3 linked regions of the Astyanax mexicanus genome follow. The protein of the gene in region 1 interacts with the protein of each later gene in a pairwise test. Links are inferred from orthologs where the notes say so. Each region holds a gene or a part of one and is shown on either strand. Other genes may lie near its edges.

Region 1 (11,130 bases):
GTGTGTGTGTGTATAATGGACTATTTGGCTGTAACTGCAGCACTGATTTAAGACATATATCCCTAAACAGAATTTAAAGTATCTGCTTTTTTTCTGCATTGACTTGAGTTACTGACTTTGTCTTCTTTAGCTTTTGCAGTGCGGGCATCACGGGCACCAGGTCTGTCCTGTTTAGCATTGGGTTGGCCCTTCCCTGCTGGCCCACGGTGCTGCATTCCAGGTGAGTCCTTCCTCTGGGGCTTCATTCCAGTGTTTGGCCTCTTCACCTGGGCAGGTACCCTGAGAGACAAAAACTGTATGTATCTATTTTTAATCTATTTAAATTCAATTCAAATCAGTTCAGTACATTATTAAATTACACATACTGTAAAATCAATGGTGATAATTCATCAGCATTTTAAACTTCCACAAACATCACACTTTATATAAACAGCATGTAATATGGTTAAATAATGTATATATTAAGCATGTATGTGCGTACATACCACAACAAATCGGAGTGATCAGTGGCACAGGATGTCAGTGTGCACACATTCAGACCCATATGTGAGATCCAACATATTAACAGTATTGTTTCAATTATATGATTATTATGCTAGGTTATGCTGGTTAAATTCAATAGCACAAATCACATTTAAGTTGGGCACCCTTTAAATTTTCTCTTACTGTAATTAGTAACGAGTAAAGGGTAAATGACTCCAAAAAAGCACAAGGATAAACATTAAAAATACATTTTTAACATTACTAACAAGATTAGTGTATTAAAAAGTACACCTGGTAAGTATGGGGTGGATTGATCCTATTATGGGCTTTGGTTGCAGCCAATGGAACAGGGAACATTTTACTTGTAAGTAAAAGAATTGATTGGGCCAGTAACGATAATTACAATAAATGGACACAACCTCTATTAGATAATCATAGTCTATAGTGTTTATTTGTATGTTTGTTTACCTACATAACAGTAAACAATATTTTAAGCAGTCATGCAAAGAACAATGCATCAATAAATATATTTTAACAGAAATTTTAGCCAGGCATTCCCACATAGTTGTATGCTGCTGCTAAATGCTGTTACTACATGTTAAAAGAAGGTTTTACAAACCAGATGTACTGGGAATAAAGAGTTTCATATATTACAAAGGGAAATTACACGGAATTATAACGGTTATCCTACCAGACAAAAACCTGCTTATGTATTAATTTGTTAAATAAATTATAAGCAGCTTGTATAAAACAAATTAAGGCATTCATGACAAACACTGCAGGTACATTTCTGAAAGCAAATGATATAATTAAAATGATGAATATAAATAGTTTGGCAACAGTAAATGTAGGGTTTTGTAGGTTATTCTATTATATCATGAATAGAATATTTATTTTAGATCAAATTAATCATAATACATATCACTAATAACACACTGCTTAAGCACATCACAGTACACTGGTAACCATGACATATTTTAATTGCTTTTACATTACTTAGATATAAAGTGAGGCTGTGGCATGTGCTACATGTGCACAGTGTATACATGCGGCCAGCTATATCTATGTTCTGCAGGTGTATACATATGGCCAGCTTTACCTGTGTTCTTTGGGTGTATACGTATGACAAGCTGTACACGTGTTCTGCGGGTGTATACGTGCGGCCAGCTATACCTGTGCGGGTGTATACGTATGGCCAGCTATACCTGTGTTCTGCAGCGCAGATGTATACGTATGGCCAGCTATACCTGTGTTCTGCAGTGCAGATGTATATGTATGGCCAGCTATACCTGTGTTCTGCAGTTTTATACGTATAGCCAGCTATACCCGTGATCTACAGGTGTGTTCTGCGGGTGTATACGCACGGCCAACTATACCCGTGTTCTACAGATGTATACGTACGGCCAGCTATACCTGTGTTCTGCGGGTGTATACGTATGTCCAGCTGTACCTGTGTTCTGCGGGTGTATACGTATGTCCAGCTGTACCTGTGTTCTGCAGGTGTATACATATGGCCAGCTATACCTGTGTTCTGCGGGTGTATACGTATGGCCCACTGTACGTGTGCTGCGGGTGTATATGTATGGTCAGCTGTATCTGTGTTTTATGGATGTATGCGAATGGCCGGCTGTACACGTTTTCTGCGGGTGTATACATATGGCCTGTTGTACGTGTGCTGTGGGTGTATATGTATGGCCAGCTATACCTGTGTTCTTCGGGTGTATACATATAGCCAGCTATACCTGTGATTTGCAGGTGTATACGTACAGCCAGCTATACCTGTGATTTGCAGGTGTATACGTACAGCCAGCTATACCTGTGTTCTAGAGGTGTATACGTATGGCCCACTGTACGTGTGCCACGGGTGTATACGTATGACCAGCTATACCTGTGTTCTGCAGTGCAGATGTATACGTATGGCCAGCTGCACCTGTGTTCTGCGGGTGTCTATGTATGGCCTGCTGAACATGTGCTGCAGGTGTATACGTATGACCAGCTATACCTGTGTTCTGTGGGTGTATACGTACAGCCAGCTATATCTGTGTTCTGCGAGTAGATACGTACAACCAGCTATAGCTGTGTTCTAAGGGTGTATACATATGGCCCACTGTACGTGTGCTGCGGGTGTATACGTATGGCCAGCTACACCTGTGTTCTGCTGGTGTATACGTATGGCCAGCTGTACCTGTGTTCTGCGGTTGTATACGCATGGCTAGCTGTACCTGTGTTCTGCAGGTGTATAGGTATGGCCCGCTGTACCTGTGTTCTGCAGGTTTATACATGTCCCGCTGTACCTGTGTTCTGCGGGTGTATACTTATGGCCAGCTGTACTTGTGTTCCGTGGGGGTATATGTATGGCCCACTGTACCTGTCTTCTGCAGGTGTATCTGTACGGCCAGCTATACCTGTGTTCTGCGGGTGTATACATACGGCCAGCTGTACCTGTGTTCTGCAGGTGTATACAAATGGCCCGCTGTACGTGTGCTGTGGGCGTATAGGTATGGCCCGCTGTACCGGTGTTCTGCAGGTTTATACATATGTCCCGCTGTACCTGTGTTCTGCGGGTGTATACGTATGGCCAGCTGTACTTGTGTTCCGTGGGTGTATATGTATGGCCCACTGTACCTGTCTTCTGCAGGTGTATCTGTACGGCCAGCTATACCTGTGTTCTGCGGGTGTATACATACGGCCAGCTGTACCTGTGCTCTGCAGGTGTATACATATGGCCAGCTATACCTGTGTTCTGCGGATGTATACGTACGGCCAGCTTTACCTGTGTTTTGCAGGTGTATACATATGGCCAGCTATACCTGTCTACTGCAGGTGTATCTGTACGGCCAGCTATACCTGTGTTCTGCGGGTGTATACGTACGGCCAGTTGTACCTGTGTTTTGCAGGTGTATACATATGGCCAGCTATACCTGTGTTCTGCGGGTGTATACGTACGGCCAGCTGTACCGGTGTTCTGCAGGTGGATACGTATGGCCTGCTGTACCTGTGTTCCACGGGTGTATACGTATGACCAGCTATACCTGTGTTCTGCAGTGCAGATGTATACGTATGGCCAGCTGCACCTGTGTTCTGCGGGTGTATATGTATGGCCTGCTGTACGTGTGCTGCAGGTGTATACGTATGACCAGCTATATCTGTGTTCTGTGGGTAGATACGTACAACCAGCTATACCTGTGTTCTAAGGGTGTATACGTATGGCCCACTGTACGTGTGCTGCGGGTGTATACGTATGGCCAGCTATACCTGTGTTCTGCTGGTGTATGCGTATGGCCAGCTGTACCTGTGTTCTGCAGGTGGATACGCATGGCTAGCTGTACCTGTGTTCTGCAGGTGTAGGGGGTGGCCATACAGCAGGGTCCCTAGGGCATTCTTCTGGCTGGGGATTGGGAAAGTCAACTGGCTTATCCACCTTGAAACTCTCCAGAGTGTTAACGATACTGCTGACCTGCTCATATTCCTCCTCCAGCTCCTGTCGCACCTGCACTCACCAGATAAAGATATCAAAATTAAATCAAGTTAATTAGCTATATCAGATCAAACATTTAACAATCATTTGACAGATAAGGCTGTATAATTGTATTACGTTTTACATTTGTTTTATGGACCTGTTCTACATCATTTAACTTACAACAACATAGTTCACTGATACACAAACTGTGTGCTCACCTGCTGCCACTTAACTTTCAGTGCAGGATCTCGAAGAGAGTGACAGTGCTTGTGGATCTGCTGGAGAACACCCTGATAGTACACCATGGAGGAGTCATAGTTGCCAAGCAATGCATATTCTCTTCCCTTCTTAGCATTGTCACAGATCTCAGTCAGATTCATTTTGTAAAAATGTGTAAAGAATGTGAGGATCCAATCTGAGGGCTTGGGGTTGCTTGTGTTGAAGGTGCTTTTGTTGACGCGAGTCCCTTAAAATAAGCCACAGCAGTCAGAAAGGGGAGGACAATAATTAGGCCACAGAAAAGCTTCAGTTAGGAACTGTGAGTAAACATATTCAGCGCTGATTGACGCCAACAGGACTAAATTATTAAATACCCGCTTACAAAGAACCAAGCCGTATTTAATATTAATTTTTAAAATGTAGCTTAAATAACTAGTTAACCTAGCTAGCGTTTGGTGCATTCAAAACTAATATTTAAACCTGTGAACGCGCAAAACAATAAGAATATGCATCAAATCAATATAAACACAAAAATACGACCGAAATCAAACAGCACAATACAACGACACTTTCAAAACGAGCTAAATTTTGACTTGGGATTTGTAGTTTAATCGACGGAACTCTCTTTGACAATTGAGTGATTCTTTCAGTTAATGGACTACAATTCCCATCAGGCGCCCCCGGTTAGGCCAGCAAAAACACTATGAATACACATGGTAAAAAAAAGGCTTAAATTTGATTTAGGGTCAAGCACGCCTTAAAATCTCAGTTTAACCCTGTACTATACGATACATTTAAATAATGTAAAAGCTTTTACCTCAAATATAACCCATAATCTCTCTTACCCGCAGACCGTAGCGCCCTGTTGTTACCATGGCCGCGGAGAGACGCCGACTGAAAAACGTCGGAAGGCGGATAGAGAGGCGGAGCTTCAGAGAAACGAGGCCAAACCGCGGTGACCGCGAGGCCTTCAACTTAACAGTCCTTTATTGCTGCAAAAACTGGAAAATAACTATGTATCTATATATATATATATTTATCTGGAACCAGTTGTAAAATATCCTAAACCTGACTTATTTGGGAGAACAAGTAAATGCATGAACCCTAAATATCCCTAAAAACCCATATGACGTCATTCCACTGCGTTGTTACATACACAAACATGTTGAAAGACTTCAGAGAAGTCATTATCACAAAACTGAGGCGAATAGAACTACAACAGAACAGAACTTGCCACGAGAAGCAAATACAGTCTTTATATGTGGATAAAATGGACTTTTAATAATCATGTTGCCGAACTGTGATACATGAGATGAACCTATTATCCTCTTAAGTTGTGATGTTTGTGGTGCAAGGGATATGAAAAAAATAAATGCACAAATCACTAAAAATCTTAAATGTCTAACCATCAGTTTAAAGCTGAAAAGAGGATTTTACAACAGAATAATTAGACAGACAATAGGCTTATCTCAAAATACATAATAGACCACCTGAAGAGACACAAACAAGCTTCTGGTATGACCCTCAAGTTCCCCTGTCATTTTTTTATTAGAACTAGACAAGCTGTTCGTGCAATGCAACTTTAGAATATTCTAGAAGCTAAGGTCTTCTGCAAAGAAACATGGGGGAACCCAAGACTTGGGTAGTAAATGCAAGCTATAAACAGGGCATTCCTTAGTACATACTCTGTAACATATCAATACTTATCACATCAATCATTTATTTTATTATTTTGTTTTTTTTTGTAATTGGCACAGTCACTATAATCAAAGCACATCACACCATGAGATAAATAAAACCTGAGCTAGACTGAAACAAAATCCACTAAAACACTTGCTGTTTATTTAATTTTTGTTTTTTACTTAACGCATTGAAATATTTAAAAGTGTGATGTCTGTAATATGATTAATCAGGTCATTGTTATCCCTCATTTACAAAATAAGCAAGGTCAGAAAGCCTGACACTGTATGTGGTCTGGTTTGAAGAAGCCAACAGCGGGTTGCCGTTTATTCGGAATTAATACATATTTTCTTGCTTTTATAAACACATTTCAAGCCTTTCAGTAATATGAAGCAATATCTAGATTTAAACATATACACCACACACTAATACATTAGACTTATCTTTCACTTACCCTTACATTAATGCTCATGACAGTTATATATACACATAAATTTAAACTTAGATTATTCTGTGACCCATGAATTTACTATATAAAATGAATATTAAAAGTATTCTCATTCGCTTAAAAATAATTTAAAAGAAAAAAAAATTATTAAAAAAAAGGTTTATTGATGTCAGAAGCTTACCAGAATGTCAATGAAACAATTGCATTTTTTTCTTTTTTTTAATCATTGTGGCAATTACAGTGGTATTCAAAGTACAGTAAAATAACTGTATGATACGGTAATTTACTAATGATAGTGATGTGAAAAAAAAAGAAAAAATAAAGACATTAAAGATATGAACTACAACCTCACATTAAACTAGGTTGTGTGCTGCACACCTCTAAAATTCCATCAACGCCAAGCCATTTTTTTTCAACCCCCTTAGACTGTACTGGGCAAGGACAGTGGCATAACTACCGTTACATAAGGAACTTTATAAAAATAAAAAATAAAAAAAATAAAAATTTGTGTGTGTGTGTGTGCGCCATATATATATATATATATATATATATATATATATATATATATATATATATATATATATATATATATATATATATATATAACAGAGAGAGAGAGAGAGAGAGAGAGAGAGAAAGAGAAAAATCAGGGAAAAAAATACAAACAAACACAAATGACACTTTTGTAGTGTTACTATACAAAAAGGGGAAAAAAGAAAAACTGTACAGCTTAAAACCCATATCATATGCACAACCATAATTTTATTTTTTTCCCTTTAGTTTTACCTCATTTACCCATTTTATGGCCTCAGTTAAGTGTGTACAGGGGGGTTAAATGCTTTATAAACAAGAAGCTAAGCTCTAATTTGTAACCAATTTATTCATCATCATCATCCTCGTCATCATCATCATCGTCTTCCTCATCGTCGTCGTCATCATCGTCGTCGTCATTGGCTTTGTCCGGCTTACTGGGGGCTTTTGCAGCACCCCCCACAACTTTTCCCTTCCGATATGCAGCAATATCCTTAAAAATGTATTTAAAACTTGGGTCAATCTTAATTAAAAAAAAAAACTAAAATCTCAACGTCTGACGAACCATTTAGCATAGGCTAAAATAAAAATATTCTAATAGGATTATCAAAAAATACAACGCTTTCAAATATGTATTGTTTATGAGACAACAATAATACTGAAACGTCTAATCAATCTAATCAATAACTAGGTTATTTAGATTATTTAGTGATATTTACCTTCTCATATTTTTCCTTCAGCTTGGCTGCCTTTTTCTCATAAGGCTGCTTCTCTTCAGCAGAAGTCTTATTCCACATTTCTCCAAGCTTCTTGGCCACATCTCCAATAGACAGACCTGGGGTCTCTTCCTTTACCTTGGGCCGGTATTCCGCACAGAAAATGAAAAAGGCTGACCTAAAAATAGTCAAAAGTGCGACAAAATATGTTTAGCATAGTTCTGACAGTTGACATTGTGAACTGATGCATGTATGTCAGCCAAGACTAAAAACTAAAGTAATATAAGGTTCTTACGGGGGTCTCTTAGGGGCATTGGGGTCCTTAAACCTCTTCTTCTTCTCACCTCTGGGAGGAACATAGTTCTTCATCTCCCTCTCATAACGTGCCTTGTCAAGTCTAGCCATTTCCTCAAACTTGCCTTTTTCCTTGGCTGACATAGTCTGTGTAGGACACAATAAAGTTTTTTTTAATACTCATGCAGGTGAGAAATTAATTTTGCTTAGAGGTCATCACATACATAGCTTCACACATATAGCTCACCTTCCATCGCTCAGAGCACTTTTTAGAGAATTCTGAGAAGTTGACTGAAGTGTCAGGGTGCTTCTTCTTATGTTCCTCTCTACAGGTCTGAACAAAATAGGCATAAGAGGACATCTTTCCTCTTGGCTTCGTTGGGTCCTTCCCCATCTTCAATATATCCCTAAAACGGAAAAAGAGAGAATTCATATTTTGCATCATGTCATCCATCTGTACACGACCACAGACACAGACTCTTCACCTGAGACCTCCGTGCACCTAGTGCTTCACATTTCAGCAAAGTCTGTGTGTAGAGAGATCGCAAGATTTTTTCCGTTTCCTTGAATAAACATAAACTTGCAATGGCAACAGATCAGCTGTTTACCATCCCGATGTTGCGAAAAGCTTCATATTAATGTTTATAAAACACAAAAAGTTGCAATAAAAGCTAAAATTAAAGTAATGATAACATCGAATAAAACTAAGATCCGAAGTTGAAAATGGGTAATAAGAGTAAAAACAACCAAACTGATAAAAATATTGTGCGTGCTAATCTAGGCATAACATTGTACAAGTGGTAAAAAACTGTTAAAATGTTTTAAAAAAAATCCAATATACTGTCCACTGAAAAGAGCGATTTCTTCTATGTACTCATATATAGCAATGGCGCACAGGCTGTCTTGTTGAGGGAAAGGAGGTCAACAACGACAGCAATATTTCTCCTTCCATTTTGTGAGAAAGCCTTCTTCATGAAAGAAAGTCCTCCTAAAATGTCTCCACCCGCCTTCCTGTTCGCTTTTTAATTCGACAAATAACGGCGAAAGTCGGTGTTCTTGACAAAATTTCTCCTTCATAAAACCCTATGCACTCGCCCGGTGTATAGTAATACACTAGGTCTGTAGTAAGTCTATGTACGGGCTGTGTAGAGTTTGCTGTGGGCTCGGAATGGCCGCTTGTCTTCATCCACTAACACTGAGAATATGGCTCCTTCTCTTTGTGTCAATGCTCAGCCATTACACTGCATGCAATAGGGGGCAGAGCGACCGCGGTACCCACCTTATTTTAACTAAGATTTTAACAACGTCACTATACACGGAAAAATAAAAAAACGCATTCACTGCAACAACGAAAGATTGAATTTTTATTTTCTGGCGAAATATCTCTCGGTTAAATGCAGATACCAATAGAAAACACGGTTCGAAAAAGTTGAAGTGAACTGCGCTTGTGTCAGGCTCTGTGGCTTCGCCTTGTTTCCTATGCGAGTACAGTCAGCCATTACAGTAAAGCGCAGATCCTGAGGTAATTTTTTTCATCAATTTCTTCATCATTACACAAAAACCGATTACACGAACAAACAAGCACCCAGCGCACGATTCAGCTCATTTTTTACCTCAGTACGTTTTTTATTTCTGTTTATTTCCCACAGCCAACTCTCTTCACATGTTTGACATCTCCGGCTATGCACTGCAATGGCTAGCTAGCAGGCTAACGCTGACTTGCTAGCTTGCTAGCTGCCAGTAATACCTTCCATAGACCTTGTTTGTACGCAATTCACTCACCTAGCTTTGCACCGAACGTTAGTTTTAACGAACACATTTAATACATGTAGAAATCTGGCAGTCAAGGCTTTAAATATAATCAGAATTAGGCAAGACTGTTGTTTATTTTTTTTTACAGGAAAATGTAAATCTAGCAAAGATTACGCTTATTTCAATAAGATGATAATACACGGTCTAAATTCACGGAATTTTTTTTAACGTTTATAAAATTAAATATGCAGTTAATCTCGACATTAGATTTTGCTTAAAATTTACACAAGGTTTTCGTTATCCATACAATTCTGTACTTACCCACACTTCCAAATTTATATAGCTGACACTTTCCAAAGGCTGGTGCTGATTCTCAATGCACTGCAATGGCTGTGTGGAGGTAATAGCGATACGCAGTCTTCTCACTCAGCTCTTCGCTCTGTAACATTACTCTCAGTAGGGCTCGCATCCTATTGGCTACCGCCAAGCCGAACGTTCTGCCGATTGGTCGAAAACTTTCCATTGTCCTAATAACAGACCCACTCGGATTGGCCGTCTTTTGTGAAACGTCACGAGTGTTTTAAATGGCGGGTTAATACAAACTACGCTGTGTTTCTGTGCTGAACTTGAAGCAGTGTGTTGGTAGATACCGTGCACTGTGTAAGCTATAGCATTACTAGGTTCTGTGAGTGCCATACGGAACACTGAATCAACGGGTCTGTGTGGAGTGTGGTAGAGAGCGCTGTAATGTGATACAAAATACTGAATGAATGCGATCTGACTCCTCGCTGAACTCGCCCTCCATACACTGTTTAGTTCAAATTAACAGAGTATGTAACTGTATTAAAAAATATTTTTATATCACAGATTTCTATATTTTAGTGCCAACACGCCAAATGTGTTTTAAATAAAGTAGTATAAAAGATGCAGCCATTAACAGAACAGTTTCAATCAAATGCTTATGACTGTCCGACGTGATTAATAAACAAATGCAGAAAAATAAGATATACACCGATTATTCCTTTTTCTTTTCTTTTAAACATACTAGTTGAACTGAGTCAATGTATGGGCACTCAATACATTTACATAAAAATTAGTTTAGTTGCATTAGCATCTGACTGTTTTATTAGATTTATTAAATTCAACAAATGTTCAAAAGCATTGAGAAACCTACAATCTTTTACTGTAGAAATTTGACTGTAGGCCATTTTTGCTGAATGTGTGTAAACTAATGCACCTTTACTAAGAGAATTCACTAAATAAATTAAAAACTAAATGGTGAATTTTAAAGTTTAAGTGTACAATAATAACAAATATCAGTTAATATGTCAGGCTTCCTGTGTGCTGTCTGTCTAGCTATCTGTCTTTGTGTCAACCTGCACCTCACTGTCTGTCATCAGTTAATAGATTTTTGTTTACTGATTAATTTTAATTTCAAATTATATTAAAGCATTGTCTCTGGAAAAAAATATTATTTGTGATTATACACATGCATACAACTGTCATTGTAATGTACGTGATATCCATAGTAAATACTTTACAAATAG
Region 2 (11,073 bases), on another chromosome or scaffold:
AGCTCACAGACTCCTTGTGCTGCAGACATCACCCTTTAGAGTCCTGTGGGAAGAGAGAGAGCGCCATCTACCCACCCAGAGAGAGAGCAAGGACAATTATGCTCTCTCAGGGCTTCGGTAGCCGATGGCAAGCTACATGAACAGGATTCGAACAATCTGCCCTCTTTTTACAACTGAAAGTCTAGCTCAGTGAGTCTAAAGCAAGCTGTGATCGCTACTGTGACGTGAGGTGACGGGGGAACTGTGGGTCCACTCCATGCTAGGACACAGAACCGGTCCCAGCTGGGCCTCGTTGGACCCTTAACCCTCACTCAGGAGAGGCACTGGTAGTGAAAGGAAAGCTGAGGCAACCCAGACCCACAAACACTAGTAAAGTGAATTTATTTGAGTTTGCTTTGGGTGTGGTGGAGGGCGTTTTAGAAATAAACATACATTTCCCCAAAATTAAGGGTGTATGTATGTAAAGGAATCATATGTGTTTTATTTAATATAGATATGTTACCCTGAAGTTAAAATTCATTGAGGCACAATATCAAAAACAGGTTCACATAGGTTCAGAATTGCACTGATTATAGGTAGGTCTGCTTTTTAACATAGAGGTCAGAAGTTTTTGAAGACAAATATGGTCGGTGGTTAGGGTTAAAATGTTTATGTAACATATAATTAGTTGAACTCTTGATGCAATCCTTATTCATAACCCCTTCATATTGGATGAGGATTTTGAGGATACATTTTAATTTAAACAAATGTACTGAATGACCTGAGAGTGGATCATACAGAGAACATTGAATAAGACTGTGTAACCTAAGCACAGTTATATCTGTCTACAGGCTCCTAAACAGTAGCTATAATCCGTGGGGGAGGCTCTGGCAGTCTCACAGCTCAGTAAAAGCTCAGTGAAAGTTCAGTAAAAGCTCACAGTGGGAGCTGCAGAACTGCAGAGCTCCTTCATGGTCACAACAGACTCTACAGCTTTACACTACCATCTTGTGGTGAAGAACATTGTGGCCTGATCCAATACTAACATTTCCGGTTCTTATTTCTTTGTCTAATCCGTCTTAACAAACCTCAGAAAATATAAACATGTATATTGTGATCTGCACAACAAAGGGCTTAGGTTTCAAAGTGTCAGCAGGATGTTGTGTTTTTTTCCACATTGCCCAACACTGCAACACTACAACAAAGGATCAGCTGCTTGTACTAAATACCACCTACTTAGCCGAGTGACACCTCAAAATACATCACAGATGTTGTGTAAATTGTCTTATCCTGAGCTGAACTCCATCCATTTCATTCAACACTGCCTTATTGTTCCAAACACTGCTCCAGAAACATGGTGAGGAACAAAAGAAGAAACTGCAAGCAATGGTACACAAAAATGGCCATTTATAAAAAGCCATCAGAAATAACATCTGGCATTTGAAGCTGTTTACTATTCTGAATTGCATTCAAGCAGTTGGTTGACTGGTGCAACTGACAGCTGTGTACTAAAAGCTCTATTTAAATGGCCCCTCTTTCTAAACAAGTTTAAACAGTATAGTTTGTAGGCATTGAGAGCCCTGCTGCACAAGAGTAAGAGACGGGCAAGTTTCCCAGACATGGATTAAGTGTATTTTTGGGCTAAAGTGCAGTATCATTGGGGAATCTCCACTGGAAATTCTCCTCAGTCTGGGATTAGACTTAATCTGGGTCTTAATGTCCAAAAGACTGTAGACACCAGCATGTCCAACATTTTTTCTGAAAGCAAGGGTATCAATTGTTCCCTCTTTGCTGCAATAACAGCTGTATACATCTGATAAAGTCCTACATAGATGTTGGAAAGTTGCTGTAAGTATTTGCTTGTGTTCAGCCACAAAATGTTATTACTGAGGTCAGGTACTAATGTTGGATGATCAGTGATTCTGAATCACAAACACCACTTTGACACATCCCAAATTCATTGGACAGAAGTCCATCAATACTGAGGGCTTTTTATCCCTTTTAACATTGGGCATTATGACCTTGAACTTTAATAGTCATCATAATTCTAAATGAATAAAAATGGGCTTGTGTTTTGCATTTTAAAATACTGCATGCAAATGTCTGCCCTGCCAGCAAGACATTTCTAATGGGGATTATATAAAATGTGTGTGTGTATGTTTGTGTGTGCATTTGAGCTTCTTGTCATTTAAATAAACTTAAATGACTGATTAGAAGGGGTGCCTTGATACTTTTGTCATAGAGCGTATTTGTAAAAGCACAATAAATCACTGATAGAAAATGTTGTTTTTTTTTGTCTGCACTGTCTGTCCCAGTGATATAATTATTCTTAATTTCCCAGTAGTATTCAGTAGTGGGAAAAAGCAATGGTCCATGAAACTTGTGCCGAAGAGAAACACATGCACAAATCACTGTGCCCCTTTCATTTGTTTTTAATGGCAATAGTTGTTTCCCTTTGAATCCTCAGGCATTGCTGAAACGCTATGGTGCGACTAAACTCCTCTATGGCTTTGAGGCGTATCATAGGAGACCGCTCTGTGGTCAAAGGCGAAATAGAAGCTATGGCCCTAAGCCTCAGCAGTGGCAGCCTGCCCTCGAAAAGAACAGAGCAGCACTTGTGAGAAGAATCACTTCAAACAGTCTTACGTAATGCAAACACAATTACTGATATTAAGCTCTGATGTCTGGAAGTACAGCCAAGAGCAACATGCCTTTTCACTCTGTCCCCAGGACTGCAGCGTGCAAGCGGCCTCCGTAATCACCAGGGCAAAAAGCAGGATACGGGATTAAGGGGAAGAGATGACTGCTCTCAGTGAGTCCAGCACATTGTAGTAACATAATCTCTTCATCCATGTTAGCTAGCTGCTTCGCCTCTCAGAAGGTCCTGGTTCGATGGGTTATTAACATTTACATAAAGGTCATTTTCAGAATGCTGTGCCTTTTGGTCCTCAAAGCTTTCGCAATATGTTTTTATTTTTAATGTTTTGACTATTAATTATATTTCTCTTTTTTCCCCACATGGACATGAATCAGCTAAGAACACTGACAAACCACACAAATCTGAGAGAAAGGCCGGCACCTAACAGTAGAGTTAGAAACCGGTTGCTTCTGTCTGAAACACCAGTTGACTAATCCTGCTTTAGAGTGAGGATAGGACCGCCTACCTAATAAACACACAAACGAAATAAAGAAATAAATAAATGATGAAATGTGGGGGGAAAATAAATAAATAAATGTTAAAATGTTGAACTAAATAAATGAATTAATAAATAAAGAAATGCAGAAACAAATAAATGTAGAAAAACATCAATCAAAAATAGTATAAATAAATGCAGAAATGTAGAAACAGACCCAAATAAAGGTTCATGCATGAAAATATGGAAATAGATTCCTGTTATAACGAATTTTAGGTTTTAGGTGTGTACTTTTTCATGACAAAATGTGTGTTTTAATTAATGTATTTATCTATACAATTATTTGTGTATTTATTTATCTATTTTTTTTATTTATTCATTGATGTATAAATTTTCTTTAATACAATTTTATTTCTAATCCTTCCCCATTTTCTCCCCAATTTTGCTCAGTTAATTACCCAACCCACTCATTATGACTCCCCCTATCACTAGTGATGCCCCAGCACACCAGGAGGGTGAAGACTAGCACATGCTTCCTCCGATACATGTGAAGTCAGCTACCTATCCTCTTTTCGAGCTGCTGCTGATGCAGCATTGTGGAGTAGTATCACAGTGCACTCGGAGAAAAGTGCAGCGACTCGGTTCAGGTACATCAGTTTACAGATGCCTTGTGCTGCAGAAATTACCCTTTACTAATGTGGGGAGAGAGCACCATCTACCCACCCGGAGGGAGCAAGACCAATTGTTCTCTCTCAGGGCTCCAGCAGCTGATGGCAAGCTACATGAATAGGAGTATTGATTTATTAATTTAAATGTGCATTTATTTATTTATACTCATGTCAGTTCCTGTCCACCATAATACTTGAGAGTTTACATGTTCATAAAAATACTGCATGTTCATGAGATTAAATATGTTTGGTTGTTTTTTTTTGATTGAATTTATCTCTTACCAATCATTGTAAATGTAAAATTATTGTGGGACAAAGCCCCTTATTCTCACTAAGGATTTTAAGTGATTTGAACTTGCCATTCAGTCAAGTTATTCTGATTCCTGTGTCCAAATGTATGATATAAAAACAGGGAATATACTTGTCTTATTTTAAAGATTTTGAGATTGCTTATTTTAGGAAATCTTATTAATAAAAATGTGCTTATTCAACTGGGAGATTTTGTGTAATATAAGCATATACATCTTGAGTTTTATATACATTTTATATTTTTGCTTATTCATTTTTTGCTGTGTTGAAATACTGAGTTGCTCCCATCCTGCCACAAAATGCCAACCAGCACAGATAATAGAAATCCTCAGTTACGCATCATTTAAAAACTTTACCCACAGACTGTCAATCATTTAATACTGTTATTTAAAATAAAAAAAATATGTTTAGCATAAACATCAAATCTGCTATTAATCTTTCATGAAGTCAAACAGACCTAAAATGTCTAAAATTCAAATTAAATTCAAAGTCAGTTTCTGTTATATAACAGTGATCTAAACCACTACAATTTGAAAGCCTAGCATGTTTGTTCTGCAGCTGGATCTTTGTGATTAGGATCAAATTCTAATTCTCAGTAGGGTCTAGGCTATGGTTAAACAGCCCCACTGAACAGTGGTGAGTGAATTTTTGTGGCTGTCTGAATAGGAGGCCTAATGTAGGCTTTTTCATCCAGATTCCAGTGTCAGCTCACTTACTGTTAAATATTTTAAGGTTCTTAGCAATGTCAGATTTTATGAGCAATGACATTTAACAAAACAATTCATAATATAAAGAGCTTCAGTGTAAGGTTTGCCTTGGAGTAAAACATTCAAATGAAGTGTGTCCACAAAGTCTGTCTGTACAGAAAGTTTTAAATTAAATGATAATTTACTTGGGAGTATTCTATGTTATTTTGGACAAGACCAGCTGGTCGTTTAGTAAAAACATACCCTATGCTGATTGGCTAGCTAGTGTTTTTTTGGATGACCAAAGCTCTGGCACAGAGGACTGAGACTTATACAAACAGTCCTTAGGTTTCCTTAAGTCTCTGAGAAGATGAAGCAGAAGATAAGTGTAAATGGTAAGGTCATCTGGCCTGCATGTGTACAACTTTACGTTGTGTATACCTCTTCTGAGAAGAGGTTTCCAACACTTCACTTAGTGTCTGACTCACTTCAGATAGCTTGTTGTCTCCTAGTTCATATACACTGGTCCCAGAACAGCAGTGTAGCAGTGAAGCTTCTCTGACACTCAGGGTCATGTTCTCCTCATTACTCATTGTTAATGAGAACACTCTGACCTTCCTGATTCCTATAAAAGTACAAACCACCTCCAAGGCCAAGTTCATAAAGATTATATATATATATATATATATATATATATATATATATATATATATATATATATATATATATACATATGTAAAACAACAATAAGAATAAGTGTGAAGGTGTGAAGGTGTGGTCATTTCCACTCACCCAATTCAACCATTTCTAAGGTCATCTGATTCACCAGCAGTGATCTAAATGTCTATGATACCGTCTATGATACTGAAAAGAAGTTTGTCTTCAACAAGTTTCTTGTTCTTTCTCTATTCCACAAAAAAATTGAAATTGAAAACCTCTGGAATATATTCAAGAGGAAGATGGATGATCACAAACCATCAAACCAAGCTGAACTGCTTTGCACCAGGGGTGGCATAAAGTTATCCAAAAGCAGTGTGTAAGACTGGTGGAGGAGACCATGCCAAAATGCATGAAAACTGTGATTAAAAAACAGGGTTAATACACCAAATATTCATTTCTGGACTCTTAAAACTCATTTTAGCCATTCCTCATTTTCTGCAAATAAATGCTCTAAATGCCAATATTTTTATCTGAAATTTGGGAGAAATGTTGTCCGTAGTTTATAGAATAAAACAACAATGTTTGTTTTACTCAAACATATATCCTATAAATAGCAAATCAGAGAAACTAATTCAGAAACTGAAGTGGTCTGTTTATATTTTCCAGAGCTGTATAACCTTAAATGACACCTTTTCACCTTATTATTATTACTACAGTATTTTTTTCTTTTATTATTTTTTTGTGATTTTCAATACTTTTTCCATTGTATATTATCAAATAAAGACGAACAATAAATCTAGCAACAGGAAATGTCACATCAGAAATAGAATTTCTAGTCAAGTGCATGGAGATAAAGACGACGCTAAAATTTCAGGCTCTTCCACGTTTCGCCGGTGAAGGTCGCCAAACTCCAGCCTGCTCCTGGTTTTGAGTCCGCCAGAGACTCCCCTCAATCCCACAATCCCAGCAGCCAAAGTTTGTATTTATTTGAATGGTGCTGGCTTCGCCCAGTTCGTGAATGTGCATTAAAATCTAGCTGTCATCCTTTCTGGTGTTTCATCCACAGATTATCACCGTGTTATATTGCCGTAGGAAGCTGAAGAAACTGAGCTTAACTGACAAAAATGCCATGGTAAGGAGAACTTCGTTATGATCAGACTTGAAGGGACTAAGCAGCCATATGTTATTGTGTAACTACGGTACCACAGGTTAGTTAGTTAGCTGTTATCGTTGGCTAGCTGCATAGAGAAGTAGTGAAGAGTTGTTATTTAGTTGATTTCGTGGGTGTCTCGGCTGGGGTAGATTAAAATGAATTAGCTGAAATAATGCTGTGTCTTTTGTCTGTATGAGCTAGGTAGCTAGGTTAGGTTGGCTAACGCTAGCTAGCTAGCTAACTAACTACTTGGCTGACTCTGAACGTGATAGCTGCTAATTAGCAAGGTAGCTAAACTGGCTAGCTAGCTAGCGTTAGCTAATAGAACGGTGGGCGGCCGTCCACAAGTTTTAACTAACGTTACCGTAACAACGTTAAAGTGCCGGTTTTCACTCAATTACGTTCAGGTTACCTGTTATTAGCAGTTTTATATTCGGTCCAGACTGACAAAATCTGTTTGCTCATGGCGGCTAAACATGTAACGTTACCGCTAGGTTATTTAGCTGGGTTAGCACGCCGAGGAGCTAACGTTAGTTCTGTTTTAGACACAGGAGGAATCCACTCCAGAATTTCGTTCCAACTGCCTTGATTGGGTTCGCTGCAGTTTGCAGCCAGCCATGCAGTTGGGACTAAATCCTGGAGTGGATTTATACATTCGGGGCATGGATTTCCCATTTCTGAGTTTTGGAAACTCCTCCTTTAGGGATTGCTTAAACCTAGCTAGTTTAGCTAGCGTTAGCTACCTAGCTAAGCCATTGCTGCGTGCAGGATTTAACTGTCTTGCTAAAACGTATGGTTAGCTTACATTGACAAAGCTGATTCACAAAATTGGGTATTTTAACGTTAATTAGATACATTACATATTCCTGACGCGTATCCGTGTTGGCTAATTATAGCTAATACTTATGTAAGATACCGCTAGCTAACCTAACTTAAGTAAAGTGTATCTAGCTTTAGCATATACGTCTTAATCCGTTATTAATAAAGTGGTTTGTAAAGTCCTGGGCTGGTTTTCCCAAAAGGTTCTTAGCACTAAGATAATTCTTAGATGGACGAGCAAGCTTCACACTGAGCCCTCTCTCTCCATGTTAAGATTTTCTTAATGCAATAAGATGCTTTTGGAAGACTGGGCCCTTGCCGCTAGCTACATGTTGTCAAACTGATTGGGACTGCTTCCCGTACGTGACTTAAGATAAGTCAGATACTACCTAGTTTGTTGTGTTGGATCTCTGATGGAATACAGAATTGTTTAAAGTTGTAGTTATTGGAATAAATGTATTATATTGTCTTTAAAAAACAAATTACATTACCTCAAATGGTTATGGATATAAATTTATATGTCATACTTGGACCAAATTACAGTGCAATTTTCCAATTAAATTTGGGCTTGAAATGCGTTATTAAAGGCAGATAGTGCTAATAACACTTAATTAAAGGATAACTCGGGTGTAAAATTGACTTTTGATGTAGTAAAACATGATAAAGAGTACTAACCTTTGTTGAATAGCCCACCTCCGGTCTCCAACAGCTTCCTGAGATCCAGCAATTTTTATTCAGTTTGTCCACAAATGCTTTAGAATGGATTGTATGGGGCATATTTTGACCCGATAAATTGCTTTTTACACCGTTATCCAGGCTCAGATTAGCTCCACACCTCATTGGTAGAATCTAAGGAGCTTTGACATTTATATCGAGGCATTAATAACTTCAAAAGTGCACAAGAAACTTATTAAAACCACTGTTTAGAACCTGTAGCGTTAGCTACAACCTTGGGTGCCCAGAGATTAGGTTATGCTGTGAGATGTAAACAGGGGTTTTTAATAAGTTTCTGGTGCACTTTTGAAGTTATTAATGCCTCGATTTAAATGTCAAAGCTCCTTAGATTCTACCAATGAGGTGTGGAAACTGCTAAAAAATGACTGGATCTCAGAAAGCTGCGGGAGAACGAACATGGGCTAGTCAACAAAGGTTAGTACTCTATCATTTTTTACTACACCCAAAGTCAATTTTACACTAGAGGTATCCTTTAAATCTACAGCCCTTTTACCCTTATTAACATTACAGGTTGAAACAGAAGGCACACATCGGATCACTGACTGATTGTGATAGTAAATAAAAAACTCTTTGTAGCAGTCACAGCTGTTGTTCTCATCGTGAATAAGAAATGAATCTATGCTTATAGTATTAAAACCATCTTAAAGAAGAAATCTGGTGTGAAATTGACTAAGAGCATTCCAGTGCTCTTAGCTGATGCTCCCAACAGGTTTCCAAAGCTAGCGGGGGCATAGCATTTCACACTTCATTGGTTGAATTCTAAGGGCCCTGACATTTAAAATGAGGCACTAAGAAATTTGAAAGTGCACTGGCATTTTGTTTTAAAAATAATATATAAATAAAATAAAATAAATAAATAAAAAAGACACACAGTGTACACACAAGGTATACACACAGAACCTTGAGGTAGTTCTCCGGGTGCCACCATCTTGACATTACAAATACTAGAGTGTAGGCAACGTGCTCACTCGAAACAAAAGTATAAATCATTCTTTTTACATAAGATTGAGCCATAAAACTCATGGTATTTTTACTTCATGTCTGGACCACAATGCCTTATGAAAAAACTGTAGTTGCCATGCATTGAGTACATTTTTGTCATTGTTCTTTAGAATTCTTGATTATGGCCACTGGAAATCATGTTGGGAATGATGCAGAATTCCACAGGCTCATGCAGGCCCAGTCCTTTGATCTTTTCAAACACCAAAACTGTCTTGGAGATGGAAAGAACATGAGGGAGGTGAGTTCACACATTTTGACATCCCTGAACTGCAAGTTTTATGACGGGAAATGTTGGCTAAAAGCAGTGAAAGCTACTTTTGCCGACTCGAGGAATACTAGTATGCCTATCCTCTCTTTTTAGGTGGATTATTTAAATAAGGAAGAAATAAATAAAGAAAGGTGAGTTTTGAGCCATGGCAATAAGGGCATGATGATCTGTTTATCTCAATGTTGGGATGAATTGATGAGCCATAACCCAGTTTCTAAATTGAAAGAAGCAAAATGATGAAAACATTGTCACTAAGCATTAAAGAGGGTTCTGCTTTGTTGACAGATTTCCAGTGGGACGTTGTGCACACAACTACGGCAAAGCAAAGCGAGTGGTGAGCAAGAAGACACGTCTCTCAGCAGTGGGCTCTGGTGTACGCCGGAGAGCACCCTCAGCAGGCAGGTCCTCTGACATGGCAAACAAAGAAAATGAACTGACATGTGCCGAGGACATTGATGGCATTCACTATAAGGAAAACTGTGGGTTCCCTGTGAACTTGACAGAAGCCTCTAAAATGGCAGGAGCTGGCTCCAAGTATAGTGACTGCTTTACTGAGGTGAGTTCCTTTTGAATAAACTAAGGGAAGCTGCAGATCAACAAGTGATAAATTATAGTACTAAACTTTTTTTTTTTTTTTTTTTTTTTTTTGGAAACACAACATAACAGATAGCTTGCTTAAAATCTGTCTATCTAAAAGTATAAAAATCAATTTTTAATTACTCAGGAACATAGAAGTATTTAATTATAGAAAGTAGAGATGTGACAAGATCTCGTTCAGTGAAATACAATATTTTCATTTATACATTTCAGTTTTAAAATAAAGTGTATATAAAGATTTTTAAAATCTCATCTCATCTTATTCTCATGAACTCGTGTGAATATCGTGTCCCATCTTGTGAGATGAGTCTTATCACATCCCTAATAGAAAAATATTTAAATTGGTGATCTATTGTGCACTACAGATGCAGAAGAATGAGATTGAAAATTACTGCAGTATTCCTTTAGTAGGCTTGATCCTATTGACAGACATTAATGTTTTGATGTCTATGCTAATAACATTTTTCTTTCCCTTAAAGTTATCAAAGGATCATGATGCAGTGACTCATGTGCTGTTTGGAAGGAATCTCAGATTAAATGTTGCTTTAACTCTTTGGCGAAGAAATGCTAGTGAACTTGTGGCTTACTTGATCAGGTAAAGATTTTACAGACTGTTTAGTCATCTTTCACCTTTGATAAAAAAAAAAAAAAGGATTTTTGCATTTGTGTTGTATTAGGTGTATTTGCAATAGAATTTGTAAGTTGTTTTTTTATGTATTATTGTACAGAATACAAGACACTGGGGTCCTTGTTGATTGTCTACCTGTACTTACAAAAAGGTAAGTTAAACAAACTGTGAAAACCATAAAGTACCCCCCCCCCCCCCCCTCGCCCTCTGTGTGTATATATTTAGTATTACGCATTCAGAAATAAAATTAATAATTTTTGCTGCACTGCATTGAATAGTTAAGATAGTAGAATAACAGTTTACTTCTGAATCGTATTAACAGTATTCTATATTTTTCTTTTTTTTTTTTTTTTTTTTAGCCTTCAAGACGAACAGCAATGTATATCCATTGGTTGTTGTGTAGACCTTTTTCCACAAGTGAAGACAATTCTTCTC
Region 3 (10,638 bases), on another chromosome or scaffold:
AGATATGCTTGTGGACCTGACCTGCATTTTAAAACTATGCACTTAAAACTAGCCACTTAAATCAATCTACTGAGCCTAATGTTAACCTGGCTATTACAATTATTAACCACAAACGTAGGTGTTTTTTTAGATTTAACTGTTTTTAATTTAACTATGTACAACATTATTCTGTCATTATAGCATAAACCATTATTTAAACTATTTTTACCATTAAACCATTACTTAAACTATTTAAAATTTAAAAGTGTAAAAAATTTAAATAATTCTACAAATTTTACCCAAGTATTTTATAAGTATGTGGACTTGTGAACTCTGAGGTTAAACTTTCCTCTCAGGTGTTATTTTTACCTTGTGCAGGCAAATAATTAATTTAATCAAATTAATTTAATCTTAAAATAAAACTTAAAAAGAAGATGAAAATGCATAACATTGCATAGGATGTTTATTCATCATTTACAGAAATATTTGAAACAAAAATAGAAAAATCACATTTGTAAAAACCAAAATAGAAAGAAAGAACAAAGAAATCTTCCCTCTGTAGAATAAATAGAAGTAGTCCAAACGCCGATCCACGGTGAGCTCTGCCCTGCAAGAGCCGAAATACAGATTTATTAAATGAAAACCAACAGCTGTTTCAACAGAACACATTTACAACTGCTAAACACAAATAGCAGCATGGTCATGTGACAGGAAATATGCTGATGCTGCATTCTTAAACTGCTGATAACACTATACAGTGATGAAAACCCCACCCAAACTGATTACAGGGCAAAATAAGAGATTTTATTAAGTAACTCTTTCTTTTAAACCCACATACACACACTCCATTTTACAGTATACTCTATGGGAGAACTTGTGTAACAATTTGGAAAAAAGCTGGAAACTCTAAACTCTAGAGAAGCAAAAGTAAAATGTTCAGCAAAACAGATTTACACAATCTCCACTTCCCTGAAGTACAGCTGGTCAGATGAGTGGGATTTATTAATGGCAGAGTTTAGTAGAGGTCAAGACAGAGCAAAATACTTCAATTTATCAATGCTGCCATTTATAGACCAGATCTGCCAAAATGCCATACATGCAAAAACAACTGAAAACAACTTTACAATTAAAATATTACGAAATAAAAACTGTATTGTTTTAAATAAATTTATAAAATCATAATTATAATTTAATTAATAAGTAAATATTGGTAATAAATAAATATTTAAATAAGTACGCCCAAATAAGTTGATTTATATTTATTTTCAATTACTTATTTCACTATTACTTTTATTATCCCTTCAGGCAGACAACAGAATAGAGCCCTTTCAAACCCGTGGCAAATATTGCTTTTTAATAAACTTACTTATCTTTTCCTCTCTAAAGAATACTTCTGTTATTGCAGTTTTGTTTACAGTCTGTTCAGCTGACTGTCATGACTCACATGCAGAGACTACTGCTGCTACTGTTATTACCCCAAGATTGTGGCTGATGATGGTGCAAGACTTATGCAGACAGGAACTGTGACACTTTTTGCTACACTGACTTGCTTGGGCAAGAGTCATCTTGGTTCTGTTGCTTAATAGATCTCACTTTTGCTCTGAACAGTGATGTTATCATATCATACCACAGCGCTTAAACTACAGCTGCAGCTGTCAAGTACTAAACTTCAATGTTCCAAAGTAACAAAGTGGAGTCCTGCTAACAAAAGCACAAAAAATAAACCTAAAAAGAGGCAATTGGTACCATTAGCTTTAACTTAAAACAAGGTAGCTTTTATGAAGTCAATTTAATTAGGCATTTAGCATCACTGGTCATGCTTGATACCAGTTTACAATTTCTTCAAAAGTTGTGTGAATTTAAAGAGCTGTGTTTTCATGATAACTTGGCTTGTTTTCCCTGTGTTAGTCTGACTCACAAGTGACTGGAGCAGAACTACATGGGTAAATAAGTAAATACAATATTAGAATAGCACTTCTGAGGTAAATGTGTGACTAGAATTGCACTGCTTGTCTGCTGAGATATTAAACATGTACAAGGTTTATTAAATATGTTTAAATTAAAACTTTTTAAATTGCTATATCTATTAATTTATTTAATGGCTAAAAAGTGGCAAATTTAATGAAAACCATGGTCAAATATTTTCATTTTAGTGCAAGTAAAAAATAAATACATGCAAACTATGAACAAAAATAAATATTTAATCTTTTTGTGTTTACTCCTGCTATGACATTATTCCCAGCTAAATTTTATATATTTTCATTCATCAATGAAATCATTTATCATTTTTTTATTTTATGCCATATCTGGTGACATTCAAATAATTTAAATTATTTTTTTTACTTGACTTACACTAAATATACACATAACACACAGATTAATATATTACTATATATATATGTACAAGTGACAATCAGTGTGAAATGTGTTCAATACTTAATGGCAGGCACAAACTTAAATCATTATATCATCAGTTACATGAGTTTGATGACTTCAGTCTCAGAATAATATAGCAAGTTAAAAAATGACAATTTGAAAGTACTACTGTGTACTAATGCACGTCATTTTGTAATGATAAAAGATACACCTACCATTTATTTTCACACCTCTGATGTTATATTTTAAAGCCAAGTGCTCTCATACACTCCTTGTGTGCCTCAATGAGATTTGTGCAACTTTCTTCCCCCTTCTCAATAATGCTGCAAAGAAAAAATACTATACATGAACCACAAATGCCAAATATAATAACACAGTTATTATTAAACACAGTAGATTGTTGTTAAGAAGTGAGAACTACATTATTAAGAGCTACTAACGTCATTTTGCAATTACTCATTAGCTCCTCATGTCTACAGCTGATTTTAAAAGCCTAATTTACAACTTTGTATGTCAATACACAAACTGAAATCTGACTGTACTTCCAATGTCCTTACCAGGCATCCCTGGCTTTTTTGGTTTCTGGGCATGCACAGCATGGTTTCAGAGGCTTTTTCTCTTGTGCCCCCTCGATTGCAGGGGCAGCCTCTACGCTGGCAGCAGATATGGTCGACATTATCTTTCTGAAGAAGCTGTAAAAGCAGAGCAAAACAGTCTTTGGTTAATCCTACAGTCTTACATAATGATGTTCATTAAAAAAAATAAATAAACTTGACAGTTACATAACAAGGTTCACCAAACTTGCACATACACTCATTGGCCAATTAACCTTGTACTTCTACCATACAGAAGCACTATTCAGATTTTAAATTTCTGATTGTAGCCTATCTGGTCATTGTTTTCAGTTGCCATCTATCATACTGATCAACTGAAAGGATTAATCATAGGCCCACTGACTACATTATTGGAACACCATTCTCAGCACAGCAGTTACACTGGCCTGATTACTGACATTGGGAGAAGGATCTGGGCTGATCTACTGTCTTGTGTGTCACCACACTGTATTAGTTCAGTAGTTCATGTTATTTACACGATGAAAGACAAACCTATTAATAAAACAATGTGTAATAGTATTAGGATCACATATGCAGGTATGAAGCAAACAAACAAAAAAATCAAAATCAAAAAGTCAAAATATGTTATACTTTGGATGCTTCAAAGTAGCACCTTTTGGCTTGATGCCAACTTTGACCACTCTTAGCATTATTCTCTCTGTTGACTTAATGAGGTAGAACCTGGAATAGTTCTCCAACTGTCTATAGGTTTAAAGTTAAAGTTAAGCTTAAAGTTCTAGGTTGTTTTATTTTTGTAAGGTGTTTGTAAAGGCCAAACCTCTCTTTTTTGCCTATTACCTTACTGTAAGTCTTCTGTTATAGTTGTATGTCTTTAATATTAATCAACAATGTAGAATATAATACATATAAACAAATATTAATGAGAATGTGAAGGGTACTCTATACAGCAAATACATACAATTTAGAGAATCAATAAAAGGAAAAAATATTGTATGGTTAAATTAAATCAAATATAAAAAGACAAATGGGTATATCTGAATGAGTAATAACAGTATCATGATAACAGAATACAAGTAAAATTAGATATTAACTCGACAATGTATAATGTACATGAATCTGTAAAACTGCGTTTAATACAAACCACACAACACTAAGTTACACATATTAACCTTAGCCGTTAAAAAAGTTATTTCTAAGCAACCGGTTTATTATAACTTTAGCTTATCTGCCCCAAAATGTATATACACAGCTGGGAGGCAACAAGTAGTTAAATTCATAATTAAAATGAGGGAATGTCCGCTAAACCTCTGAGCAGGTTTATAGTCAGAAATCTGTCTCTCTTCAGAATCCAGTTGGGTTAACCTCTAACAGAATCACTGGCTGATGTAACCTAAACTAGCAGATGTTTAGATAAGCTGAGCTCCTGCGCAGATCACAGTACCTCTGTTTCCGGCTTCTATCAGCCTTCCGCTGCTTCACATGTGTTTCTAACGACTGCGATCTGCGATTATAGGAGATATTAAACAATCGATAAACTCCACACTTACATAAACAGCAGCAGCAACAGCAGACAAAGCGCGACCTTCCTCACACAGCGTGGAGCAGCCTGTACAACATCCGGGGTACTCCGGGGAGAACCTTTCATCAAAATAAAAGTCATTAAGTCACATGTAACGTGCTATTTCAGCGTGCAGTGACTTTGATCCTTTAATGATGCGTTTAATCACTTTAATGTACAGTTTCATATGTTTTTTAGAAAATAGTTTAAATTACTAGTTAAAAATGTTAAACATCATGTTAAATCAGCGACACATGATAAAGCAGAAAGAAACATTGCAACAGAGTTAGTGTTTTCTTATGTGTGGCAAAAACTCGTGTCACGATTTTATTTTCCTCTATAATTTTTTTATTTTATTTTAGATTCAGCGCTGTCCTGTACACGTGTTTTATGCTTCTGGTGGACTCTGGTAGGCATTTTGTGTACAGCTTTAGAGAAAATCAAATACATCAGAATCTAAGATACAGATTAATTGCGTTATAATGATCTGATTAACTTAAACAAGTTCAGGATAACATGTGATAACTTGTGGGCACACATGAGAACAGTACACTAACACTGCTGCTAGTCTTATTTAAACTAACATTATATCAGTGTTCTCAAGTCTCACGCTTTGAGCGTGTGACACACGCACCTCAGCGATGTTAACACGCTCACACGCCACACATGGTATTTCTCACGCTTGCGAATTCATCGGCTGTATATTATAATGTACTCTCGTTGAGCCAATCAGAATATAGATCACTCTGTTGTTAGGCAGACCTAGTCAAAGAGGGTGGAGTTTTAGCCAGAGTGTCAGGCGCAAAGAACTGTTCGATTGGAAAGTTCTGAAACACACGTCGGTGAACAACTGAAGGAGAACGGTGGCAAGATTTTTCAGGTTCACTATTTTATGTCATTAAATTAAACTTTAAATGCAACATTTTCGGTCACTGGTAGACACATTTGTGGCCAATGTGTGGCCAGTGCTACGTTGGTCCAAATAGTTCCTTAAGACGTGCCAGTCGGTGTGCCAGTTGCCGTAAGATGTAAGATACAGGGTCAAGGTTCTTGTATTCTGGTCCTTCCATTAAAATGAATAGCTTTCCCTTCTCCCAACAAACCTGATTCAACTAATCAGCTCATTAACAAGCGCTTTAGAGATTCAATGGGTTTGTTGGTGCATTGCCAGTCAGCACCCAGCTGAAAAAGTAAAGTAACATTGGCAATAAAATAGACAGGTATCATTTATTTGCATATCATTTGTACTTTAGATTTTATCCATTTACAATAACCCCCCCCCCCCCCCATAAAAAATTTGCTTGTCTATCAACGATGGAAAAAAGTTTCATTTAATGTAATAAAAAAGATAACCTGAGAAATCTACATTAATGGTACGATACAATTATAATTGACATGCACAAGAAACACTCATGAAATCAATTTCATATTATAATGAATGTCACGAATCCCAATAAATTGTCCGGGGAATGTATACATAATGTCAAGATTCTGAACTTGAGAATGCTGTCCCAAAACGACAGGTAGTTTAGCTAAAGTTTTGTTCAGAATTCCTAAACTACAAGCCTGGCTGATTCAGCAACAGAAAGGATTTTGCTCACTAGGTGCTCGGTACCCAAAGGTCCAAACCTTGCAAACGTCATCCAAACTCATCATGTACAGTATTTGTAATATTGCAAGGTCACACATATTGTATTTAGCTCTGTGAGCTGCTGCTGCTGCAGCTTTTCTGAGTCCAGAGTCCATTAAAATGAACTTTTTTGTCAGTAGGTGGCAGTTCCTGAACCTGGAAATGAAAATCTCCATGGACTTGGTCATTGTGTTATTGGTAATAATTTTAAGTTTACACAGAACATTTCTATGTAATATTACTACTTACTGAATGAGCAATTTGTTAGGAGAATCTGTACAATTAGTCAGTCATGCAATTAATCAGCCAATCATGTGGCATGAGAGCAGTGCATAAAACCATGCAGATGCACAGTGTATTATTAATTACAGCAATATATCACAGATCCCTTGCATTTGTTTCATTGCACTTAAAAACGATACAGGGCACTGTTAAACTGGAATCAGTTCCCTGCTACAATCACAGGTATTGTGAGTCCAGTGGGGTCTTTCCAAAGTGCAGAAGCAGAGTATTTTCTGTATGTAGTCAGAAATAACCTCAAGGCTGCTGCACACAGCAGCCATAAGATTTTGTCAGCTTAATACATATTTTGACTGCTGCATGCTTACTGTAACTTGCTGCACTGTAACAGTCTTTACATTAAAACAATAAAAGTAAATGCGACAAGAGAAAATTAAATGTATTTCTTGTATTGAATGTTAAAAGACAGGACAATGCTAGAAAAAGGATGCTAACAAACTTTTGACCATTAATACTCTAAAGGACAACCATCCAAGAGTTGCTTTACAAAGCTTTTCAACCACTTTAACCATTTAAAACCAGTTACCAGCAAAAGCTGGTCTTGAGCTAGACAGGCAGTCAAAGAAAAGACAGCAGAGAACAACCATAACAACAGTTGCACAAAGACCGTTAGGGAATATATTTTCAGTAGTACATAATAAAATGATCAGTATGGGTCATCATATATTAAGGAAACATGGAAAGTTCAGTCCAGTATTTTATTACTAGAACTGTGTGGTATGTCATGGAAATCTGTGTGGGTGTGGTCTCTGTCTCCTCCTGCTGCTCATTTCCAACACTGTAATCCTAAAGTGGGAAAGAAGCCATGGAAGCTAGCAAGCAAATCTTAGCTGCTACACAGACTAAATATTCTTGGCATTCATTGAAAAAGCTCAGTGATCAAAGACAGAATAAAACAATAGTAAATATAGTCTCACAGAGGGAGAAGTTTTCGAGCTCAGAAAGAATACAAGACGCTGTGCTGCTACTTTTCTCCTGAACAGGTAGCTAAGTTACTTTGGCTAAATAATTTATCATAACCACTAGGTTAGCTTTCTAAGGACAGGTATTTTAATTCATTTAAAATTTTGAGTGTCATTTAAAATTTTCAGTGGTCTGTGTGCAACTGGGATAACAAGGCAGAGAATACTTGAGATAGCTAATGCTAGCTAGGTTAGCTAATGTCATCTGGACTATGCTGGCTAACCCTGCGTTCACAGTAGAAAGCGACGTGACAGATGAACATTCATTTTCTATGGCAGGGCTGAGGGACAAGTGACACGGAGTTTAAATGTTCTCAATTTTATGCAAATTAATTATTAATTAATTATGACACAGTGAAGCGACATTCTAACTTGATTTACCTGATTTCTTTCAACTTATTACATAGGCAGTCTGAGGTCTTCAAGCTTCTGATCTTTAAACTTTTGGTTCCCTTCACATTTTCTTTCCACCACACAGATATAGCCAAGAGTCTAGCAAGCTCGGGAGTCATAGCTGAGGTTTTGCTAGTATTGACCCATGCCCTTTACTGGGCAGAGAAGAAGAAAAGAGGGGGAGCGAACTCAGAGTATTTGGGCTGGAGTTCGGGGCAGCTTCGCTGTAAAGCGTGAAGCCGAAGCCCCCCCCCTCTCATGAAGAGAAACATGAGGAAATAGAATAAAATTAAAGAAGGAGGAAGATGGGTGTTACAGATGAGAAGGGTGGACGTGAGTAGGTGCAGATATATAATATTTCAATTTAATTAATAAACAAGATAAATGAAAAACAGAAGACAAACACGGATAGCGCAAAAAAACTAAGAACTAAGAAAACTAAGAACAAAACTAAGCTAAACAAACAAGAATAACTAGAATAACTAGAAACTAGAAAACTAGAATAACACTAAAACAAAATTAACAAACTTGGCACACTTACTTAACAAAACAGACCTGGACTGAAGAAACAGATTCAAGGAACACAAACTACAAAACTGGTACATGCAAATACAGATGACACAAAAAGACAAAAGACTCAACAAGAAAACACTCATACAAGGGGCTTTTTATACACAAGGAGGGTGAGGACTAGTAATGAGGGGGCGGGGTTACAAACAAGACACAAGGTGACAACAATGGCTAGGGTGGGGCTAAGGCGGAGACAGGGAGGAGACAGGGACAAAAACACAACAGTAGCACATGGCTGGGAACACATGACAGGTAAACAGAGCAGAAGCACAAGGGACCAAATGAGGGAGAAATACAAGACAGACATGGGCTAAGGTGTGACATTACCCCCCCTCAACGGCGCCACTACCAGAGGCGCCGAGAGAGGCAGGGAACAGGGGAACAAGACAAGACAGAACTATGACAGAGGAACTCAGAACAAAAGAGGTGACTGGACTGTGGATGGAAATAGAGACTGGACTAAAGACAGGACAGGGGGCGGAGACTGGACAGGGGACAAGGACTGAACAAAAGACTGGACAGGGGACATGGACTGAACAAAAGACTGGACAGGGGACATGGACTGAACAAAAGACTGGACAGGGGATAGGGCTGGACAAAAGACTGGACAGGGGGCTTAGACTGGACAGGGGACACAGATTGGACAAAAGAATGGGCAGGGAGCTTAGACTGGACAAAGGGCTGAGCCTGGACAGAGGATTGGACGCTAGACTGGACAGAGGGCTGGACACTAGACAGGGACAGAGACTGGACAGGGGGTTGAAACACAGACTGGACAGTGGCCGGGAACTGGGACTGGACATGGGGCTGAACACTAGACAAAAACGCAGATGGGGTAGTGGACGGGAACAAGGACTGGACAAGACTGGACAGGGGAACTGGGACAAAAACATTGACAGGGATGGACACGAACACAGTGACATGAACAGGAACTAATACAGGGATAGACACGGGTACAAATACACTCATAGACTGGAGCCCAGGACTGGTGAGGTTCAAAGTCTTAGGGGCCAGCCTGGGCAGAGTTTGAGGGGCTGGAGCAGGAGACCTTGGAGCAGGTCTAGGAGCACACGACCTGGGGGTGTGCTTAGTTCTGGGAGCGGGCACAGGGTCAGAGGGGGCCGGAGCTGCGGGCACAGGATCAGAGGCGGCCGGAGCCGCGGGCACAGGGTCAGAGGGCACCGCTGGCACTGTAGCTGAAGCAGTGGGTACCACATGGGCGGCAGGCACTGCAGACATAGGAGCAGGAGCGGCGGGCACCGCTGGCACTGGAGCTGGAGCTGAGGCAGCAGGTGCTGGAGCTGAGGCAGCAGGCACTGCTGGAGCTGGAGCTGGGGCAGCAGGTGCTGGAGCTGGAGCTCAGGCAGCAGGTGCTGGAGCTGAATCTGAGTACTCCTCTGCCAAATCCTCCCCACCTCTGTAAGGATTATCTGCTACGTCCATAGTAAAGGTCGAGTCTTATGTTACAGATGAGAAGGGTGGACGTAAGTGCAGATATATAATATTTCAATTTAATTAATAAACAAGATAAATGAAAAAACAGAAAACAAACAAGGATAGCGCAAAAAAATAAGAACTAAGAAAAATAAGAACAAAACTAAGCTTAACTAAACAAACAAGAAACAGAAAAACTAGAATAACACTAAGAACACAAAATTAACAAACTTGGCACACTTACTTAACAAAAGAAACCCGGACTGAAGAAACAGATTCAAGGAACACAAACTACAAAACTGGTACATGCAAATACAGATGACACAGTTACAAAAGACTTGACAAGAAAACACTCATACAAGGGGCTATTTATACACAAGGAGGGTGAGGACTGGTAATGAGGGGGCAGGGTTAAACAGAGGTAAACAGAGCAGGAGCGCAAGGGACCAAATTAGAGAGAAACACAAGACAGATATGGGCTAAGGTGTGACAATGGGGAGGAGGTGGGTGCGATGTTGTTAAACGAACAGGTAGAGAGGAAGTGACGGTTTAAATAGGGAAGGAAGTGGGAGGAGTGAGGGCGTGGATCAATCTCCCAAAACGTAGTTATGATACATAACTCCACATAAAGTGGCCAAGCGATTGGGAAGATGGGGGGCGCTGGAGTGGGAAGATGGAGTGGGAAGATGGGGGCGATGGAGTGGGAAGATGGGGCGATGGAGTGATAAGAAGAAGTGTGAAGATGGGGGCGATGGAGTGGGAAGACGAAGTGGGAAGATGGGGGGCGATGGAGTGGGAAGACGGAGTGGGAAGATGGGGGCGATGGAGTGGTAAGACGAAGTGGGAAGATGGGGGGCGATG

The links.
Region 2: the proteins of katnal1 (region 1) and katnbl1 interact in binary tests that used the Homo sapiens proteins (3 or more experiments, as listed by UniProt). The two-hybrid records come from large-scale screens. The link is inferred for Astyanax mexicanus from reciprocal best matches to the Homo sapiens genes KATNAL1 and KATNBL1.
Region 3: the proteins of katnal1 (region 1) and cytochrome c oxidase copper chaperone interact in binary tests that used the Homo sapiens proteins (3 or more experiments, as listed by UniProt). The two-hybrid records come from large-scale screens. The link is inferred for Astyanax mexicanus from reciprocal best matches to the Homo sapiens genes KATNAL1 and COX17.

What each region holds. Positions count from the first base shown.
Region 1 is NC_064427.1:14,352,098-14,363,227, reverse strand, and holds the start of katnal1 (katanin p60 ATPase-containing subunit A-like 1), read right to left. Parts: upstream 5,119-11,130; 5' UTR 5,008-5,118; exon of another isoform or gene 4,980-5,007; intron 4,410-4,979; 5' UTR 4,324-4,409; coding exon 4,162-4,323; intron 3,974-4,161; coding exon 3,813-3,973; coding exon of another isoform or gene 3,776-3,812; intron 3,510-3,775; exon of another isoform or gene 3,405-3,509; intron 3,331-3,404; exon of another isoform or gene 3,021-3,330; coding exon of another isoform or gene 2,926-3,020; intron 2,363-2,925; exon of another isoform or gene 2,300-2,362; intron 2,263-2,299; exon of another isoform or gene 2,008-2,262; intron 1,971-2,007; exon of another isoform or gene 1,731-1,970; intron 1,689-1,730; exon of another isoform or gene 301-1,688; intron 294-300; coding exon of another isoform or gene 280-293; coding exon 117-279; intron 1-116. Other genes in the region: hmgb1a (high mobility group protein B1a), read right to left, coding at 7,168-7,314, 7,541-7,715, 7,833-7,978, 8,079-8,225. UniProt on the Homo sapiens protein: Regulates microtubule dynamics in Sertoli cells, a process that is essential for spermiogenesis and male fertility. Severs microtubules in an ATP-dependent manner, promoting rapid reorganization of cellular microtubule arrays.
Region 2 is NC_064408.1:76,334,362-76,345,434, reverse strand, and holds the start of katnbl1 (KATNB1-like protein 1), read left to right. Parts: upstream 1-6,367; 5' UTR 6,368-6,568; intron 6,569-8,485; exon of another isoform or gene 8,486-8,557; intron 8,558-9,255; 5' UTR 9,256-9,266; coding exon 9,267-9,383; intron 9,384-9,506; coding exon 9,507-9,544; intron 9,545-9,698; coding exon 9,699-9,969; intron 9,970-10,489; coding exon 10,490-10,605; intron 10,606-10,738; coding exon 10,739-10,789; intron 10,790-10,997; coding exon 10,998-11,073.
Region 3 is NC_064418.1:25,448,252-25,458,889, reverse strand, and holds cytochrome c oxidase copper chaperone, read right to left. Parts: upstream 4,575-10,638; 5' UTR 4,478-4,574; intron 4,456-4,477; exon of another isoform or gene 4,372-4,455; intron 3,048-4,371; 5' UTR 3,032-3,047; coding exon 2,913-3,031; intron 2,679-2,912; coding exon 2,594-2,678; 3' UTR 2,571-2,593; intron 587-2,570; 3' UTR 425-586; downstream 1-424.